Daphnia pulex: one gene and its partners. The protein of the gene in region 3 purifies or fractionates together with the protein of the main gene of each other region. This does not show direct contact. Links are inferred from orthologs where the notes say so. Each region holds a gene or a part of one and is shown on either strand. Other genes may lie near its edges.

Region 1 (4,098 bases), on a different chromosome or scaffold from region 3:
TCTTTCCGTAACTTGCAATTTTATGAAAAGTACCTTATTTGCATTGCGTTGCCTTTGTTGCCCATGGGAAATCCCCCCGAAAATAATGAAATTTAAAGTTGGCAAACGGAATGAAAACTGAAATTTTAAAAAGTGAGCTTTGATTATACAAACGACGATAACTGTCTAGGGTTGTGGAAAGTGAATTTGCCCATGTAAATCGGCAAGAAAAATAAAGAAATGTTTAACGATAGTATTGCATGCCCTCGTTATTTATTTTCATGACGGGGAGAGACTCTTAAATCAACTCCGATTTGGGAGTTGACTACCGGTCTATACCGCTATGGGGGTAATTCTTTTAGTTTACACCCCTCAGGAAAACTATGCTTACAGGAAACGCTTTTTCAATGACAGCTAACAAAAGTAGGCATGATTTTATGTATAATAGTCACCTTTTCCACCCGACCCCCTTCAACTTATCTGGTATCTACCTGTCACCCTCCGCTAGTGGTCGGTAGAGGCGCTGCTTTTCAACGGAAACCGCCGTTGCCGACAATTTTGCGGGCAGCGGTCGACAGAGGCGCTACCTAGTCGCGTCTATTGGAATCAAACGACAATCAAGATTTCGAGTGAGGGATGAGAGTCCAGCTCTCATTATTACAACCTGTTACAAACCGTTAGCTCTAAAGCCTAGCGATAAATGATTTAATAATCAAAATTTCAAAAAGGCATTAAATCTCTTGCATGACATATGGCGGAACTTCCCGTCGATTAATACATTAAAATAATAAGACAACTTCAACTTTACCCAATGAATGGGTGGAATTTTTTTATTCGTTTAACAACTGGCCATTACTTGATCGAGAATTTTTTTAGTGTTCAATTCCTTGACGCCTATTGAAATTAAACTAAAACAGTAAAACTTTACACTGGTTCGTCTACTGAAATTAGACTAAGCGTCAAAATTAAGTTTGGTGCTGACTGACAAGGAAGTTAATGAACGAAGGTATTGAACAGGTTGCCGCCCAACTATAAGTGCAGTTCGCGCAAATCGTTCCATGAGTTTGGCACATAGTGTAACATTTTTTTCTCTCTGTACAGAAAATTTAAATTAAAAACAAAAACAAAAAAAAAAAAAAAAAAAATCTTCTATAAAAATTTTGATAGAGGAAATGATCGATGTAATTCAATTCTGGAATTGGGCCAGTCAGTTGAAGATATGGTGCCACGTCTCATTGGCATTGCGTCGCAAACCACCAAAAGACGCTTTGGAGCCTGGCTTATTATAGTCTTTAGACTTCAGAGGCCTAGACCGTAGACTCCTGGTAGACTCGCGTAGACTCACTAAGACGGGAACAATTTTTAGATTTTTTGCGTGTCTTTGTGTCGCTGCATGATTTAGCTTTAAAATATTGATAGAATACGAGTTATTTTATTTCTAGCCCCCTTCACAGTTCACACGTCATTTGAGTCAGATGTCGGATAAATGCAACAATTGCATGTTTATTATTCAAAAACTAGATGGCAGTCAAAAGCTTTACTTGGAGGAAGGGTAGGCGAAAAGGCTTCACTTTTTAAATTCCTATCGTTTCGGCTTTGTAAAAATATAGCAGGCTTTGATTACAGACGACTGAAAGTGCAAGAACACGTGGAGTCGCGGACCGAACATCAAAAGTGGTCTCATCCAAACCACACAATTATCGAGTGTTAAACTGTTAACAAACCTTTATTAAAAAGTAAACGTCATAAATTTCTTGCAATGGCGGCTTTAAAAAGAAGCTTGTTAAATGACGAAGGCCAGATTCAAGTGAGATTTGTAACGAAACAGGAGAAGTAAGTCTTTCTACCGAGTCCATTTGTTGCTCAAAATATTCATTCTTTTTTCTGATGACAGATATGCTCTCCCAGAAGCTCCATTTTCAATCCCTTCTGGAATAAAAGCAGACTCACTAAGTGTTTTAGTCAACAATTTGCTAAGAGGTAAATGATTTAAAATTTTCAAAATCATTAATACTAATAATTTTGTTTTTTAGAAACACACGAATCAGGATGGGATGAGGTAGATTTTGATTTTCTAGTATGCGGAGAATTTGTAAGGCTTCCACTTATTGAACATCTAAAACTGAAAGACATTAATACTGAAGTCACAGTTGAAGTAGAATACCTTGAAAGATTCCCTGCTCCAGAACCTGAAGATAGTTTGAATCATGATGACTGGGTATCTGCTTCCCACTGTTTTAAAGACTGGTATTACACTCATATCTTTAGTTGTCTTAAAATGTGTATGTACAATGCTAGTTATTTCAGGATCCTGACAGGGTGTTATGATAATACCTTGCATATATGGAAGACTGATGGTACTCATAAGTCAACTATTCCAGGGCACTGTGGCCCCATCAAAGGAGTACGATGGATTGAAGTGACTGGCTCAACTGCTACTTTTGCAAGGTATTTTTAGTTTCTTTGAATTAGTGATAATCAGCTTTAAAAAAAAAAAATTATTGTTTTTTTTTTTAGTGTTTCTCATGATCAGACAGTTATGCTGTGGAAAATGAACCTTGAAACTTATGCAATTGAATGTGTGCATATTGGAAGAGGACATGAGCGCTCCATTGAATGTGTAGATGTTGATAAGAATTCATCCTTCCTTGCTACTGGTGGTTGGGATAATATGCTTAAAATTTGGTCTGCCAGTAAGTGTAACATATTCTAATTAATGTATTCAGGTGTCTGTTTAAATTTAATGAATTCTTCTTTTTTTAAGCATCTGATTCAAATTCAACAAACGAAATTGATGATGGTGAAAAGGAAAAAGGATGCTCTACTGGTTCTGGAAAATCACTCAGACGTGTAAGTGTTTTGTATGAAGTGTCGCAACATTTTATACCTTCAGTCAAGCTAGAACAGACTAATTTCAATCATTATTTAATACAGACACCATTGATGACTTTGCCTGGCCACAAGGAAGCTATATCTTCTGTTGTTTGGACTGAAAACAATGAAATCTTTAGTTCTTCCTGGGATCACACCATCAAATTGTGGGATGCTGAATTAGGAGGATTAAAATCCGAAATTGTTGGGAACAAATCCTTCTTCTGCATTTCTCGTTCTCCATTAAACCAAACTCTTATCACTGCTTCAGCTGATCGTCATATACGTTTGTATGATGCCCGATCTCAAGGTACATCTGTTGCGCTTTATACCATTTTAATAGGCTCATTAATGATTTCCAATTTTTTTTTTTGACAGAGGGGTCAATTGTGAAAGCCACATTCACTTCACACGTTGGATGGGTATCAACGGTTTGTTGGTCTACGACACATGAAAGATTATTCGTATCCGGTGGCCATGATAACATTTTAAAGTTGTGGGATAGTAGGAGGCAAGTATTTGATAATTAATTGCGTGTTAATTCAATGAGAAATAATTTTTCTTTTCAGTCCCAAGGCTCCGTTATACGACATGACGGGACATGAAGGCAAGATCCTGTGCGCTGACTGGTCAAATCCTTCGATAATAATAAGTGGTGCAACGGATAATACGTTAAAGATCTTTAAATCTGAAGTATAAATTAAAATTGCCACCAAGTTGAGATAAACAAATTTTTGGAAACTGGAATGAATTAGTCTATTTTGGCCGTTAGTTAACTTTAAAACGAAGTATAGACATGGTGTATAGAGTAGTCAGTAGTCCAGTGACGCGTACCGCCGACAAGGCAACGTCGTACTAGCTATAATATAGCCTCGAGTAATATTTTTTTCTTCTGTATTTTTCGAATGGACTAAGTCTAGTTTTAATCCTATACATTTTTTCCTACCCATTTTTTTAAGTGATACAAAATTAATTGGATTGCATATTAACCAGTCACAGCGCTTGATACATTCTGCTTCAGCTGGATAGGTGTGCACTTCCAAGTTTCAACGACGCAATCTACTAGCTGCAAGGGGGCAAGCTTAACAACGCGGTCTGGAGAATTGTGTAGTCATAGTTTTAGGTATTAGTTTTACCAGCAGAATTCGTATTCTCAGAGTCATGAGTCGTATGTTCGAGATTTCCAGCAAAAGGTATCAGCTAACCAAGTATTTTATCGATGAGTTCAACAGGAGCTTAAAAGCGGGA
Region 2 (4,121 bases), on a different chromosome or scaffold from region 3:
AATCATTTCATTTTCTTCCTTTCTTCGATTTCAGCTGTCGATTTTGAACATTTCCTTGGTAACGCAGTCTTTTTACCGATCTCTGACTTGTATCGGTCAAATCTGCAGCAAACGCCGATCCTGATTTTTTCGCGACTGGTGCTTTTGTAGATTTGACGTCGCTGACATCGTTATTTAATCGCATGCTCTTCGGTTTACTCATTTTCTTGGCAGCTCTTGCTTGCATAAGCATGACTTTTTTCAATTCCAGTTGCGTCCGCTCTTCAGATGTCATTTCACCCTTCTTCTTGGTCTTTTTCTGTTCCTTCTTTCGTTCATTTCGTTTGATTTTCTGATTCTCTCCCAACTTCTTCTCAGGTTTCGGTCTTTCTTCTGTGGCACCTCCTTCGTTGGCCAATTTAAATCGATCTTTTTCGTCTAAACGCTCCTGGTGTGTCTGGAACCACTGTCGCTTCGGAGCAGCAGGTTCACCTTTAACTTTAACCATTTTTTCAGCTCGATTGATTTGGTTTTCCATTGCTGAAAGTTGGCTTTCAGATTTCTCTTCCTATAGGGGTAAAAACAAGATATTTAATCCAAGTTTTAAAATATTCATGTGAAATGTGCTCATACCGTAATAATGCTTTCCACATCCGGATCAATGAGGGCCAATTTCTTTTTATATTTTTCAAGAATCTCGTTTGGAATCAATCGTGATTTAACAGGATTGTTGGCCCTTTTAACGATTTCTTTGACCACTTTTCTTTCTCCTTCTCCAGCGAGTGATACGGAGACACCGCTTCGTCCAGCACGAGCCGTACGTCCAACTCGATGAATATAACGTTCGATAGTTGGTGGCATAGTATAATTTATAACTGTTTGCACTCCTGGGATATCTAAACCACGAGCTGCAACGTCCGTGGAAACCAAAATATCGATGTCTTCCTCCTTTAAGAGATAATACAAAGAGACGAGATTATTGAACGAACTAGCAATCAAATATTACTCTTGAATTTTAAGACATACCTTGAATTTTCTAAGAGCTTCCAGTCGCTGCGGTTGTGAGAGATTTCCGTGGAGTTCGCCTACTCTGATGCCTGCAATAGTAAACTTATTTTAAAAAACCCCAACAATTGAAATTAAGCCAAATATGATAGATACCTAACAATCCAAGTTGAACGTGAAGCCTGTGACAAAGCATTTTAGTTTGAACGAATACCATGCAATGGTTTCGGAAAGTTCGACACACAAGAGCACACAAGATTGCTTCTCTGTCACCTGTTGCATGTTAAATAATATCAGAAAATAAATTAATAAAAAGAATAACTTGGGATATTCAATATAGGAGAAAGTACCTTCATGATTTGGCCTGATGCGAACAAACTCCTGCCTCAAATTGAATGCTACATCGCGGTTATTATTTACGAAAACCTTGATGGGTTTGTTTAAAGATACAGCGGCCAAATCTCGAACTTCGTTACTCATCGTGGCAGAAAAAAGCATGGTTTGGCGTTTACGGCCGCATTGCATAATAATTTCTTTGACTTGTTCAATAAAAAATTCATCCAACATTCGATCGGCTTCGTCCAGAATCAAAACGTCAATGGCTTCAAGACTGCAAATTTCGAACGACAAATTTTGTTTTTCACAAAATTCTTGATAACATATTAAAAAAAAAAAGTTATGAAAACCTGAAGGATGGAGTATTGCGCAAGTGGTCAATTAAACGGCCAGGTGTTGCGATAACAACGTCAGGATTACCGCGAAGAACTTTTTCTTGGACTTTTAAATCAAGACCACCAATCTAAAGAAATGAAATTTCTAAGACTTTTGTAAAAGATTCATTGTTAATGTAGCAAAAACTTACTGAAAGTCCTATTTGAATATTGGTGAACTGTGAAAGTTGCTTGGAAACTTGATAGACCTAATACAAATAGGTATGAAAATGTGTAAAGTAATAAAATTCAATTGTAAGATCTTACCTGAACTCCCAATTCTCGAGTTGGAACAAGAACAAGGACACGTGTTGTTGCTGATACCTTGGGACGATACATCAACCTCTCTAGAACTGGCAACATGAAAGCTGCTGTTTTACCAGTTCCTGTAGCAGCACAACCACATACATCTCTGCCCAGTAATGCAACAGGGATTGTAGCTGACTGAATAGGGGTTGGATGAACAAAATTCATAGAGGCAATGGCTTTCATGAGAGGACGAGACAAATTCATTTCATGAAAACTCTCTGCTGGCTCATAGAGCAACGACTCGTCAAAAAAATCCTCTCCCATCCCCAAATTTGGATCAACTTCCTCATTTGACTTTTTCTTCCTTAGTTTCCTCTTCTTGTCACGCTCTTTATCTCGTACATTGTCCTTTGTCAATTCATCTTCAGACAGCAAATTTTCTTCAACTTCATCTTCTATTTCTTGTTCACTTCCATCTTCATCCCCACCTGTCAACAAAAGAAAGTAAGCTGACGTTTTTTAAGAACTTGAAAATAATATACAACCTTTATCTTTAAGCACTTGGGCAATTTTGTCGTCCGTCTTGCTTTTCGCTTTCCGTTTAATGTATTTTTGAACATCGTCTTTCCAAGGGTCGGCGTTGTAGTCGCCGACATTTCCAATAAACTCAAACTCTTGGCTGAACTCCTTACTTTTTTTAGTCTTGATTTCATCGCGTTTTAATTGTTTTGGTTGAAATTCTTCTTCACTTTCAGATGATGAATCGTAAAAGGGAATGTTTTCGTCATCGGATTCAATGGTTTTCACCAGATCCCACGTGCAGCCAGTAGCCTCCATGTTTTAAAAGTCGACTAAAAGTAATGTGTCGTCTGCAATGACAGGATGCCAGTTTGCAGCTTGTCTTCTTTCTACTTGTTTTACCAAAGGTAAATTTCGCAGATAGCGGAGTCAAGTTAATTTAGAATCCTAATTTAAATCGCAATAAAATACATTATATTAAATGAACTTTGTTCTTTGTAATGAGAAGCATCACTAGTCAAAACCACTTTTTTTAAAATATTCATCGTTACTTTAATCGAATGAAGAATTTTTTCAAATTAACTTTAACGGAAATATTTTTATTTACAGCTGTCTTCCGACATCAGAAATGACGAAATAGCCAAAATCAACTTTCTTCACGTTGTTTAATGGAATACCAATCATGAAAAAAATTAACATGTCTGTATTTATTCTAACAGTAAAAGTCTCCAAAACAAAAAATAAAGCGTATAAAAGCAAAATACAAATTTAAAAAGGTTGCCGCTTGTGCAAGGTCTTGAACCAATAGGCATAACCGTGGGGTCAACTCGTTCAAGTCCCTCGATTAGGGTCCCGCATTCAGATTATTTAATAAAAATTAAATTAAAACAAAAAGATCTATTCAGGGCAGATGTGCCGACGTTTTTTTTTTTTTTTTCGATTTTCATATCGTGTCTGAACATGAACTAACTGTTCCCCAGAATGCTGCAAGTTCGTGTCACAAACCCTTCCTCGCTCATCACAAGCGAAGTCCCCCAAGATAGATCCGGAACGTCATAACCATTAGGCCAAGACCCCCAACAACGAATTGAGTTGGAAAGGTAATCTTTTCGCTCTATTCCCAGGCCTTAAAATGTATTAATATCGACCCACGTCAAATTTGAATAAATAAAACTACTCTCTTATCAAGGAAAATGAAACGTGCAGATTTTACAACGAGAGCTTAATTGATTTTACTTTAAGTTCGCTTAAAGTTACTTTACTACCGCTTTTTTGTAAGTTCGCGCTTCGCTTTTTCCGCAGCATTCCGTAAATAAAAATGACAACGTAGCAATGCAAAACTCAATCAACAGAGAGCAGACGACTTGACGAGTCAAAATCAGTCCGAATCACAGTTTGAAATATCATTAAATTTGGAATTGTAAAATTAGTTTCTTTATAAAAATGATTGTCCCAAGCATTGCCCATTGCTTAAGGTATTGTTTTTATTCAATATTTATTAAAATGTACTTCTTTTATTCTTAGTACCGTTTTTTGTATCACTTAATACAGAAATCGATGCTTATCTTTTTCACTAATGAAACCAATGGCATGCATAGGTACACCAAGATTAGTTTCTGTCATTGGGACTCATCGTTTTTCTACAAGCATCAATCAGCA
Region 3 (4,331 bases):
CAATTGCGGTCATCGCCAGAAGGCATCCCGGTGGCCCAGTTAAGGAGGCCAGCACTGCCAGCAGCAAAGGCAAATGTTCGATAACCCTCCCCCCAAAAGGAAGCTTCATGGAAGTACGCATGCATGCATTTATAAATTGGTCGTAGTCATAACGCGTTAAAAACAAGACAACAAAGGTGTTGCTAGGCCCGCAATTAACTCCATAATTGCCGTATTCATACTAAACGCCTTTCAGAGATTGTTTCCACAATAGCGTGTATTAAGACAAAAAAAGGGAGAAGAATACGACAACTTACGCATCCTTCTTTATTTTCTTGATTTGCGTGTCTGAGGTCGTGGACGATAGGGGTTGAATGGACCATTTCGCGGTCAGTTCTTTCCCAGTAGACGTACTTTTCTTCAATGCTTTTTCTTCCTTTTCGTGGAACTTGCGTTTGTTTTCCAAACGCTTAGCTTCGCGTTCACGGCTCTTACGATTCTTCATCATGGAGCGATACAATCGTTTGTCTTTGTTGCGAATCATAAGTTCACGGAATTTGTAGTGTTCTTTTTCCTCTTCGTCCATACCCTTGATGTCAGGCATTTCAACGCGACCTCTCATTACCTTCATGCCTTTTTTCTGCGAGAAACATCGTTGTAAAAATACATTTAATTGCTTTTTCAGAAACATCGTTAAAAAACAAACTCGTCATTACCTCCTTAACGACTTGAGACTTTGTGGTTTCATTCTTTTTCGGTTTGCTATCTTCTTCTTCTTCACTGCTATCATCCTCACTCTCCTCCTCCTCTTCTTCTTCCTCTTCCTCTTCAGCTAGTAATCACAAGGCATTAATTTAGCAAGCTTAATCAGTACGAAAGGACAAGTAAAAGCATACCTGGAAGGGTTTCGCCGCGCTCTAGAGCCAGGAGTACCTGTCGCTCAGGAGGAATGTAGTCACCAAGACGCTCAGTAACAAAGGGCGAGATATGCGGTGGCAGATTAGCACCAATGAAATAGTCTTCCACCGGAAGTAATCGACGGAAGTTGATGCAGTCAAACAACCATTGGGGTTGGATGTAATAACTGTCGTGAAGAAAAGCGGTTAGATGCGCAGTACTGACACAAATAAAAACCAAGCAATAATTACCGAGAAAGATATTGTTTTTCGACGGAAGGTCTGTCGATAATTTGATGTGTAATGCTTTCATCTGTCTCATCATATGTGGCGCCCGCAAATATGGAGGAATCCCACGAAGCTTCACCATCGCACGCTCGGATCACGAAAACAACCGATTCACGTGGAACTTCGCGACTAATGAAAAACTTTAAACCTTTGAAAAGATACTTCATTCGCTCAATTGCTTCCGCCTCACGCTTTGCTTCATCAAGTTTATCCTGTCCATCAGCCTATTGAATAAATGCTAGTTTTAGAACAAAAACAATAATTATTAAAAAGATTATTATTTTTTTTACCGATGGAAATTCGTCTATTTGAAGTTCTTCCTCTGCTTCGGGTACGTTTGCAACAAGACTCGTATTCAAAGCTGCTACCAGTTCGTTGTACTCTTCAGTAGCATCTTCATCCGCGGCATTTTCGTTAACTACAAATTATTTTTGTAAGTTTATTTAATTAATGAAGAAATATAAACAATATTACTATTAATTCCCGGAAGTTTCGGCGGATACTGAAGATTAATGGAGTGGTAGAGTCGGAAGTTTATGAATCCAAGCATTGAAGTATAAAAATCGACGAAATTTGTCATGATCCTATAATCAACATCCGATGCTGTTGTGGGCTAAAGAAATTGAAGAGATTAGAATGACACTCAAATTATTTGGTAGATAGACATTACCTTGAACCCTCTTAGATGGTTAATAAGAATTGTCACAGGCTGTCCTTTAATTTCTACTTGGTAGTAAATGCCTTTAACTGAAATAAAGACTTTGCGCAAAGCTTTGGCAGCAATAACATAATGTAAAAACTCAACGGTGAGCCTGCGACAAAGTGAAATCAGATTCGCCGGAACTTTGGTGTCTCGCGGTAGAGTCGAATAGAAAAAACAGAGGGTCAAACAATCATCCAGATCATTGAGTGCATCAAGAAATGAAGGGTATCTAAGAAGATAAATTAATCAATAGACAGTGAACATTTTATTATCTATTACCATTTCTTACCTTTCTTTTACCAAATGGTCTAACTTCATGCTAGGCTTGTTATCTTTCAGCCTTGCTACAGTTTCTTTATCACCTTTCTCCATCGCAGTCTTCATCTTCCTCATGAAGATTTTGAAGTCCCTGAACTTCCATATCAGAGGTTCGTGGCTCAAAAATCTGATATCTTTCACATAATACAGGGTCTTCTTGTCAAGCTTTCCCTTCTGGGCTTTCTTTCTGTTGTTGGGTTCACGTGGGTATACACCCTTCAAGATGCAAAGGCGCCGAAAGTCTTTCAAGTTTAGTTGCAGCTTTTTCAAGGCTTGAGCTCTTGTTATATATTTGGTAGCTTCACCTGCTTCGTACTAATTAAAGGATAATTAGTTTTCATCACGTTCTATTTCTCTTTGCTAAGGCATGACACGTCACATGTGCATATTTTAGACAGTGGCAGACAACATGAAAGATACAACACTACATCTATAATATGAACTCTTTTGGCAACAAACCTTTTTCTTCATACGGGCTCCCATTTTTTATGCTTGTTATATGCTATTTCAATTAAACGGATCAAAAGAACATACGCTCGATCGTATTGCGTATTTAAGCGACCACGTGCACCGAAAAGCCAAACTTTATGACAAGCAGACGACGGTATCGGACTATCGGTAGTTGACAATTCTAGTTCAAAAAGGCCGAGAAAACATTTCAACGTTTCCGATAAAACATCAATAAAATTGGGATTTTATAAATTTATCATTCTATAAAATTATTTTCGACATAAATTTACTAAATGTGGTCATTATAAAATAAAATCTTATAAGATTTTAATTGAAAAGCAAGTTATATTAATTATTCAATAGATGGCACTCATGGCAGTATGGATTTGACAGATAGTGAAACTGTGAAATATCTTGGGCGACTTGGCCTCTAATATTGATATTTGCTTTGAAAAAGATGAAAAGAAAAAGTTATCAACATTCGTAATTTCGTATTTCGTATTTATCACTTATCAGTGACGCAAGGTTTGTTAGCCAAATAAAACAGATTGCCAAGCCTAGAACATTGTCTATTCAAAGAAAATCGTTTCTTAGGCAGAGGCTGTTGAAACTTGAAACTGCTTGAAAGCTAAAGGCATATACTAATTACTGGACATGTAGGTATTATATGTAATGATACATTATTGTATACTGTAGTTTTCAAATACTACATAACAATCTATTTGCCCTATGTTGTATTAACCAAATGTTTGTTTTGATTAATATAGGGGATTGCATAATGTGAATCAATCATTCATTTTTCTGTGGCTACTTTTTATGATCTCAGTTCATTTACCAAACACAAAGTAAGTAAACAATTGATTGGTTTGCAATTGAATTGTTTATTCTAGGACATGGGCATAATGAATATTGAATATCGACTTGGTCCAGATGTGTCTTGTGTCATGCAGTATTAACTTGACCAAAATTATATTAAACATGGCAATCATTCATAATTATATTGCTTTATTTACTTACAGTGCTGCAGAGTATGTTATAAAAACATCATGGAATAACATGACAATTGATTCTTCTGATCAAGTCATAATAAATTTGGAGAAACATGATTCTAAGTCATTCAAAATTGTTGTTCAAGCTCCTTTCTACGATGACCCTCCTCCAAACACACCTGGTGATGTAGGTGAACCAAAATGGGGGCTTTGGGATTATGAATGTATGTACTCTACTAACTTTTGTCTATTAATTTTCTGAAAGTGTAAAGTATTATTTTCATTTAATTGATCTAGTGGTAAAAATTTTCTTCTTGAACGATCTACACCAGTATATTGAAATTCAGCTGGGAGCGTAAGTACATTTTTACACGGTTGAGCAATGGCTAGTTTAGTTTGCTACTAGATTAATGGAAGTTCAAATTTTTAATCAGGTGGGGCCATCACTTTGTATTACTCTTGAATGGGTATCGACACACGATTCGTTTCGGAATGTTGATAAATTACAAGGCATACAGGAGTGGCAAACGATGGAACGGAACTGCCATTATTCCTTTAACCTACCTGCCTGTGAACGCTTCCAAATTGAACGTCTTTTCATATCATGGTTCAAGAGATAAGCGTGTCGTAAACGCACTTTATCCTGTTGAAAACATTGCTACTGCTGAACTAGACGAGTAAGTACTACTTCATACATGAGCTGCTTAC
Region 4 (4,257 bases), on a different chromosome or scaffold from region 3:
ATCATGTGAAATGAACAATTGGGTATAATCAACTATGTACACCATTTGTAGCTGAAGCCAATTGCTGTGCAGTGTTATCGTCCTCCCACTGTTTCATGTGATCAGTATTCAATACTTTTGAAACGAATGCCTCAAGTTCTGAACTGTGAAATTCCTCTGCGCTCAGTTTTTTCAAGTTGATAGGGGTTGATGCTGGACCCGGCACGGCAGGCAGAAAAGCAAGTAGCGACGGATCATATTGCGTGTGTAATTCCAATGGTGTCCTAATAAAATAAAGTTTAGAATGTTAGCCTATTAAAGAGCGACAGAAATCATCATGAAAGTACGACTTACTTGCGAGTCAATTCCATCGATAACGCCCCATTTCCAGTAGTCGGGCTTTTGAGCAGGATGTGTCTAGCGAATTTTCCCACAACTGGGTGATAGTGCCTCACGAGTGAATGGAGTTCCCATAGAGCAGTACTGCCTGCGTTGCAATGTTCGGGCTCCTCCAATTCTGCCAAAAAAGTTCCGCTGCCGGAAGAAGTATCTAGATCCAGCAGCATGTCTGTTTGTTTATGAGTCTGCATAACAATAAAAAAGTTATTCTGAATCTTGTTGTGAGTAAAGAAAGGGAAATGCTTACACTCATAAGAACGCGGACCAAACTAAGCAGGCTTATACTGCTGTTATGCTGGACTTGAAGAGCTAGAGTCGATACTCGTTTTGTGAAGGCCAAAACTCGGTGGATTGAAACCTTCTTCCTTCGTTTTATGAGCATGTTTTCCAGACAGTCAATTGCGATCGGAACGTTAGAATTCGACGGGCCTACATTCAAGCGCAAAGTTAATGACAAACTAATCGGTATAAATGAAATAAATGCTACGTACCAGCAGTAAGACTAAAGATAACTTTGTACAAGTGAGAATAGAAATGAATGGGATCGATGTTAAGGGCTTCTCCTTGACCCGAGAGCATAATGAGCACTACTTGGATGGCGTACAGACACTGACGGTAATCAAGCTGGTCATTTGCAATGAGGTTATTGAAAACTTCAACCAAGTCGGTGAAAAAGTCCACGTTGATCGTATGCGCGAACCTACGTAAAAAGAGAAATAATCAGAAATTACCTTTGTCAAAATAAAATTTAAAAAAATATAAACATACTTTGCCAATCCTTGAAGCACGACACCCATCAAACCGGATTTCGGTGCCATTTTAAGGATGCGGAAATAGATGGTGAAAACCAACTTGACCGTTTCTGTCTGATATTTAGTTTTACTGCCTTTACTATGCTCTGCTCTGGCAATGACGACTTCTTTCTCCAGCCGCTCAATCTTCTTTCTTCGACGTCGCTCATTCTTCGACATTATGAGGATTTTTTCTTTGCGAGTCAAGGTTTTGTACCTACTAATTTCTTCCTCCCTTTCCCGATCTAAATTAACGTCCTTGATACGTAACGCAATTAGGATGTCGAGGCAATCGGGTGGAATCTGGTGGTGTCGCTTGTTTTTGATAAGGTGATTGATTTGTCGAACTGCGTGTAGAGAAATCTCGCCTTTCTTGTCGTCTTTGAAGAGTTTCTTGAATGCTGAACAAATCAAAAAGCGTACATCGTCCACTTTGTGAGCAGTAAACGGAATTAAAGCGTGAACAATGTTTTTGGCAAAATTAAAGTGTGGCATAGACACCAGCAAGTCGCTCATGCATTTCAATGCAAAAACTGCCACTCTCCTAGTGGACTCATCAATGGCTTTTTTCTTTTTCATCTCCTTCAATGGAGAAAGAGTTTCTTCTAGCTTCTTGAGGAACATCTGGTAATATTTAAGCAGACGAGCTTCGTTCCCGTAAATTTCTCTGGTGGCTTTCTTCAGTCTTTCTCCAGGCTTAGAAGTCATTTTAATTTCAAATCCAGGTGCCAAATCCTTGAAGAGTTCCACAAGACTAGCAGAAATTAGTTTGAAGCCGGTAATGAAAATATCTGGAGTTAGAGTGGCATATAGTTTCAATACAGCACTGATATGCTCCATTCGCTCATCAGGATTTTCCAAAATGTTGCTTGATGAGGAACCAATCAGGGCCTTCAAGTCTTCAATTTTCTGTTTTCGCCTTGCATACATTTCTGCCATGCTTTTAGGGGCTTCCTCTTCTTCTTCAGCATCTTCATCGTCTTTTTCTTCCTCGTCAGAAGATTGGTAGTCAACTTCAATCGTCTGTTCAACAATGCCCTGCTTGGTCTTGATTGGAAGGAGGTGTCTTGTTTTCTTCTTCGTCAACTCGCTGTTATAGAGGTCCTCATTGTACTCCTCTTCAACTGTCTCACCATTGTGTTCTTCAATTTTTCGTTTCTTTCCTGCATTGGCATTCTTTTGTTGGATATTGGAAGCCTTTGTTTTAAAGAAACTGACTTCTTCTTCGTCCATCATGTCCATCATTTCATCTGCATCAAAATCATCTTGAACAATTTCTTCAGTTTTTGGAATAGGTTTCTCATTGTTGAATTTCTTTTTCTTATTTGACCCTGGAATAGAAGCTACGGGATTTTTCTTATTTGCCTGTTGATTTGGCCGGCTGTTGTTCGGTTGGGTTTTATCTCCCAGTTGAGTTTTCGGTTTAACGAATGGTTGGCGAACTCTGGCACCTGCCTTGTAAGTTTTTTTGTGTTTCATGTGGCTGGCTCTTTTCGTTTTGCTCACCACCATTGTTTTCTTGGCACCCTTTTTTGCCATTTTCAGTTACCGGATGATGACAAACTTGGATAAACTATAAACTTTTATTCAAACACAAATTAAATTCAATAAATTGTGTTCACTGTTCAGTCAACTGGTAGACAGACGTCTTTTGGAAAACTACCACGTGAAGTTTTGATCTTAGTTTACCGATCTATCGCTAGAGTTCGCTGATGTTTTGGTGGGAAATGATAAAAATGAATAACGAAACAAAAGTGAATCCTTATAAAAAAATGCTTCGCTTTGTATTTTTATTAAGGAATAAAACTGTCTACTATAACTATGCGTTGACAACACATTATGATCACTTTGAATAATGAAGCATGACAAATCCAATCAATAGAAACCTCTCAACATTCTTCACCCACGTCTTCGTCTTTGTATCCGCCTTCTTCATCCATTTCAGTAAACCCATTTTCATCTTCCGCATCTTCAATATTATCCTCCTGATCATCTTCGTAGCCTCCTTGTTCTTCCACAAACTCACGCTCTTCTTCACGATGTTTGAAAACGTTTTCGTCCTCCTCCACATCTTCAACAGCATTATCTTCTTGGTCATCTTCATAACCTCCTTCTTCGTCTTTAAACTCACGATCTTCTTTCTTCCGTCCTTGTAAAGTCATGGATAAATCCGGTTCCTCATTATTAGCCTTGATAACTCTTGATGCAGCAATAGTGGTCGTTTTCAAAGCCATCGGTGATTCAGTGCTTTGAACTGTTAAGGTCACTTGTTTCTTTTTGGGATTTGCATCGATTCCTTTCTTTTCTTTGGCAGTTTCGCAACAAATTTTAGTTGTGATCTCCTTTCTTTCCATGGTGTAAATAATTCACAAAAGTAATTCGATCGCGCAAACTATACGAATAACGACACTAATAGGGTATCAACAAGACCAACTACTGCGATTCGTCGTAGCAACGAACTGAAAAAATCTTAAAACTTACGACTTGGCGACGTTCTATACAAAATTATTTTTAATTTAATTCACGAATAATAAGAAGTCCTAGTCAACAGAGCTACTAGGGATTCATAGAGGCCTACACATTTATGGTTTATTAATTAGAATTCCATCCCGCATTGTCAAATTGAAAATTCCGCTTCAGAAAATTGTACGTCTACTTTTCGCCGCTAGATGGCCTTGACAAGATTTAATGAACGCAAGCGCTAACGAGCGCTAGCCATCCCCTAACAATAAGTTTGGCCAAAGGAAAGAAACAAAAAAACTAATTAAGGACGACATTAACAGCGACGATGACTGAACCATCTGGCGCCTAGCCATCAGCGCATAAAATCAACACAAAAAAAGGGAAATGTGTTTGTCGTTTAGACTGATGGAACTTGTATATATTTTCAACGAGAAAACAGGCTGATGACACTTTCCGCTAGAGAACGTGAGTGTGTGTGGGTATCGTTTCCTACTGCGCCGCATGGTGGTTTTTAATTTTATTTCGTTGCGACGGCCTTTGATGTTGAGCAGAGAGAGAAATGCTACTCCACAAAATCTTTTCCGTCCGAGGAATTTACAAAGAAATCGGAACCGCCACACCATCC

The links.
Region 1: the proteins of pescadillo homolog (region 3) and ribosome biogenesis protein WDR12 homolog purify together in Homo sapiens (co-immunoprecipitation; 7 studies listed by BioGRID and IntAct, counting the BioPlex papers as one, with this or other methods). This does not show direct contact. The link is inferred for Daphnia pulex from reciprocal best matches to the Homo sapiens genes PES1 and WDR12.
Region 2: the proteins of pescadillo homolog (region 3) and probable ATP-dependent RNA helicase DDX27 purify together in Homo sapiens (affinity purification with mass spectrometry; 4 studies listed by BioGRID and IntAct, counting the BioPlex papers as one, with this or other methods). This does not show direct contact. The link is inferred for Daphnia pulex from reciprocal best matches to the Homo sapiens genes PES1 and DDX27.
Region 4: the proteins of pescadillo homolog (region 3) and nucleolar complex protein 3 homolog purify together in Homo sapiens (affinity purification with mass spectrometry; 3 studies listed by BioGRID and IntAct, counting the BioPlex papers as one, with this or other methods). This does not show direct contact. The link is inferred for Daphnia pulex from reciprocal best matches to the Homo sapiens genes PES1 and NOC3L.

What each region holds. Positions count from the first base shown.
Region 1 is NC_060024.1:1,155,440-1,159,537, reverse strand, and holds ribosome biogenesis protein WDR12 homolog, read left to right. Parts: upstream 1-1,249; 5' UTR 1,250-1,531; intron 1,532-1,605; 5' UTR 1,606-1,738; coding exon 1,739-1,812; intron 1,813-1,873; coding exon 1,874-1,959; intron 1,960-2,012; coding exon 2,013-2,226; intron 2,227-2,286; coding exon 2,287-2,427; intron 2,428-2,496; coding exon 2,497-2,672; intron 2,673-2,743; coding exon 2,744-2,829; intron 2,830-2,913; coding exon 2,914-3,160; intron 3,161-3,228; coding exon 3,229-3,361; intron 3,362-3,419; coding exon 3,420-3,549; 3' UTR 3,550-3,597; downstream 3,598-4,098.
Region 2 is NC_060018.1:13,199,202-13,203,322, reverse strand, and holds the start of probable ATP-dependent RNA helicase DDX27, read right to left. Parts: upstream 2,838-4,121; 5' UTR 2,781-2,837; coding exon 2,489-2,780; intron 2,432-2,488; coding exon 1,962-2,431; intron 1,904-1,961; coding exon 1,847-1,903; intron 1,784-1,846; coding exon 1,671-1,783; intron 1,595-1,670; coding exon 1,335-1,594; intron 1,258-1,334; coding exon 1,141-1,257; intron 1,077-1,140; coding exon 1,006-1,076; intron 928-1,005; coding exon 613-927; intron 548-612; coding exon 8-547; 3' UTR 1-7. Other genes in the region: enoyl-CoA delta isomerase 2-like, read left to right, coding at 3,906-3,937, 4,014-4,121. UniProt on the Homo sapiens protein: Probable ATP-dependent RNA helicase. Component of the nucleolar ribosomal RNA (rRNA) processing machinery that regulates 3' end formation of ribosomal 47S rRNA.
Region 3 is NC_060028.1:9,972,409-9,976,739, reverse strand, and holds pescadillo homolog, read right to left. Parts: upstream 2,812-4,331; 5' UTR 2,668-2,811; coding exon 2,644-2,667; intron 2,500-2,643; coding exon 2,156-2,499; intron 2,096-2,155; coding exon 1,834-2,095; intron 1,777-1,833; coding exon 1,638-1,776; intron 1,582-1,637; coding exon 1,454-1,581; intron 1,388-1,453; coding exon 1,128-1,387; intron 1,064-1,127; coding exon 876-1,063; intron 812-875; coding exon 696-811; intron 620-695; coding exon 293-619; 3' UTR 239-292; downstream 1-238. Other genes in the region: uncharacterized protein LOC124208492, read left to right, coding at 3,289-3,290, 3,402-3,479, 3,654-3,847, 3,921-3,978, 4,058-4,300. UniProt on the Homo sapiens protein: Component of the PeBoW complex, which is required for maturation of 28S and 5.8S ribosomal RNAs and formation of the 60S ribosome.
Region 4 is NC_060017.1:6,524,062-6,528,318, forward strand, and holds the start of nucleolar complex protein 3 homolog, read right to left. Parts: upstream 2,841-4,257; 5' UTR 2,709-2,840; coding exon 1,147-2,708; intron 1,079-1,146; coding exon 870-1,078; intron 808-869; coding exon 626-807; intron 564-625; coding exon 334-563; intron 264-333; coding exon 29-263; 3' UTR 1-28. Other genes in the region: glutamic acid-rich protein-like, read right to left, coding at 3,059-3,523. UniProt on the Homo sapiens protein: May be required for adipogenesis.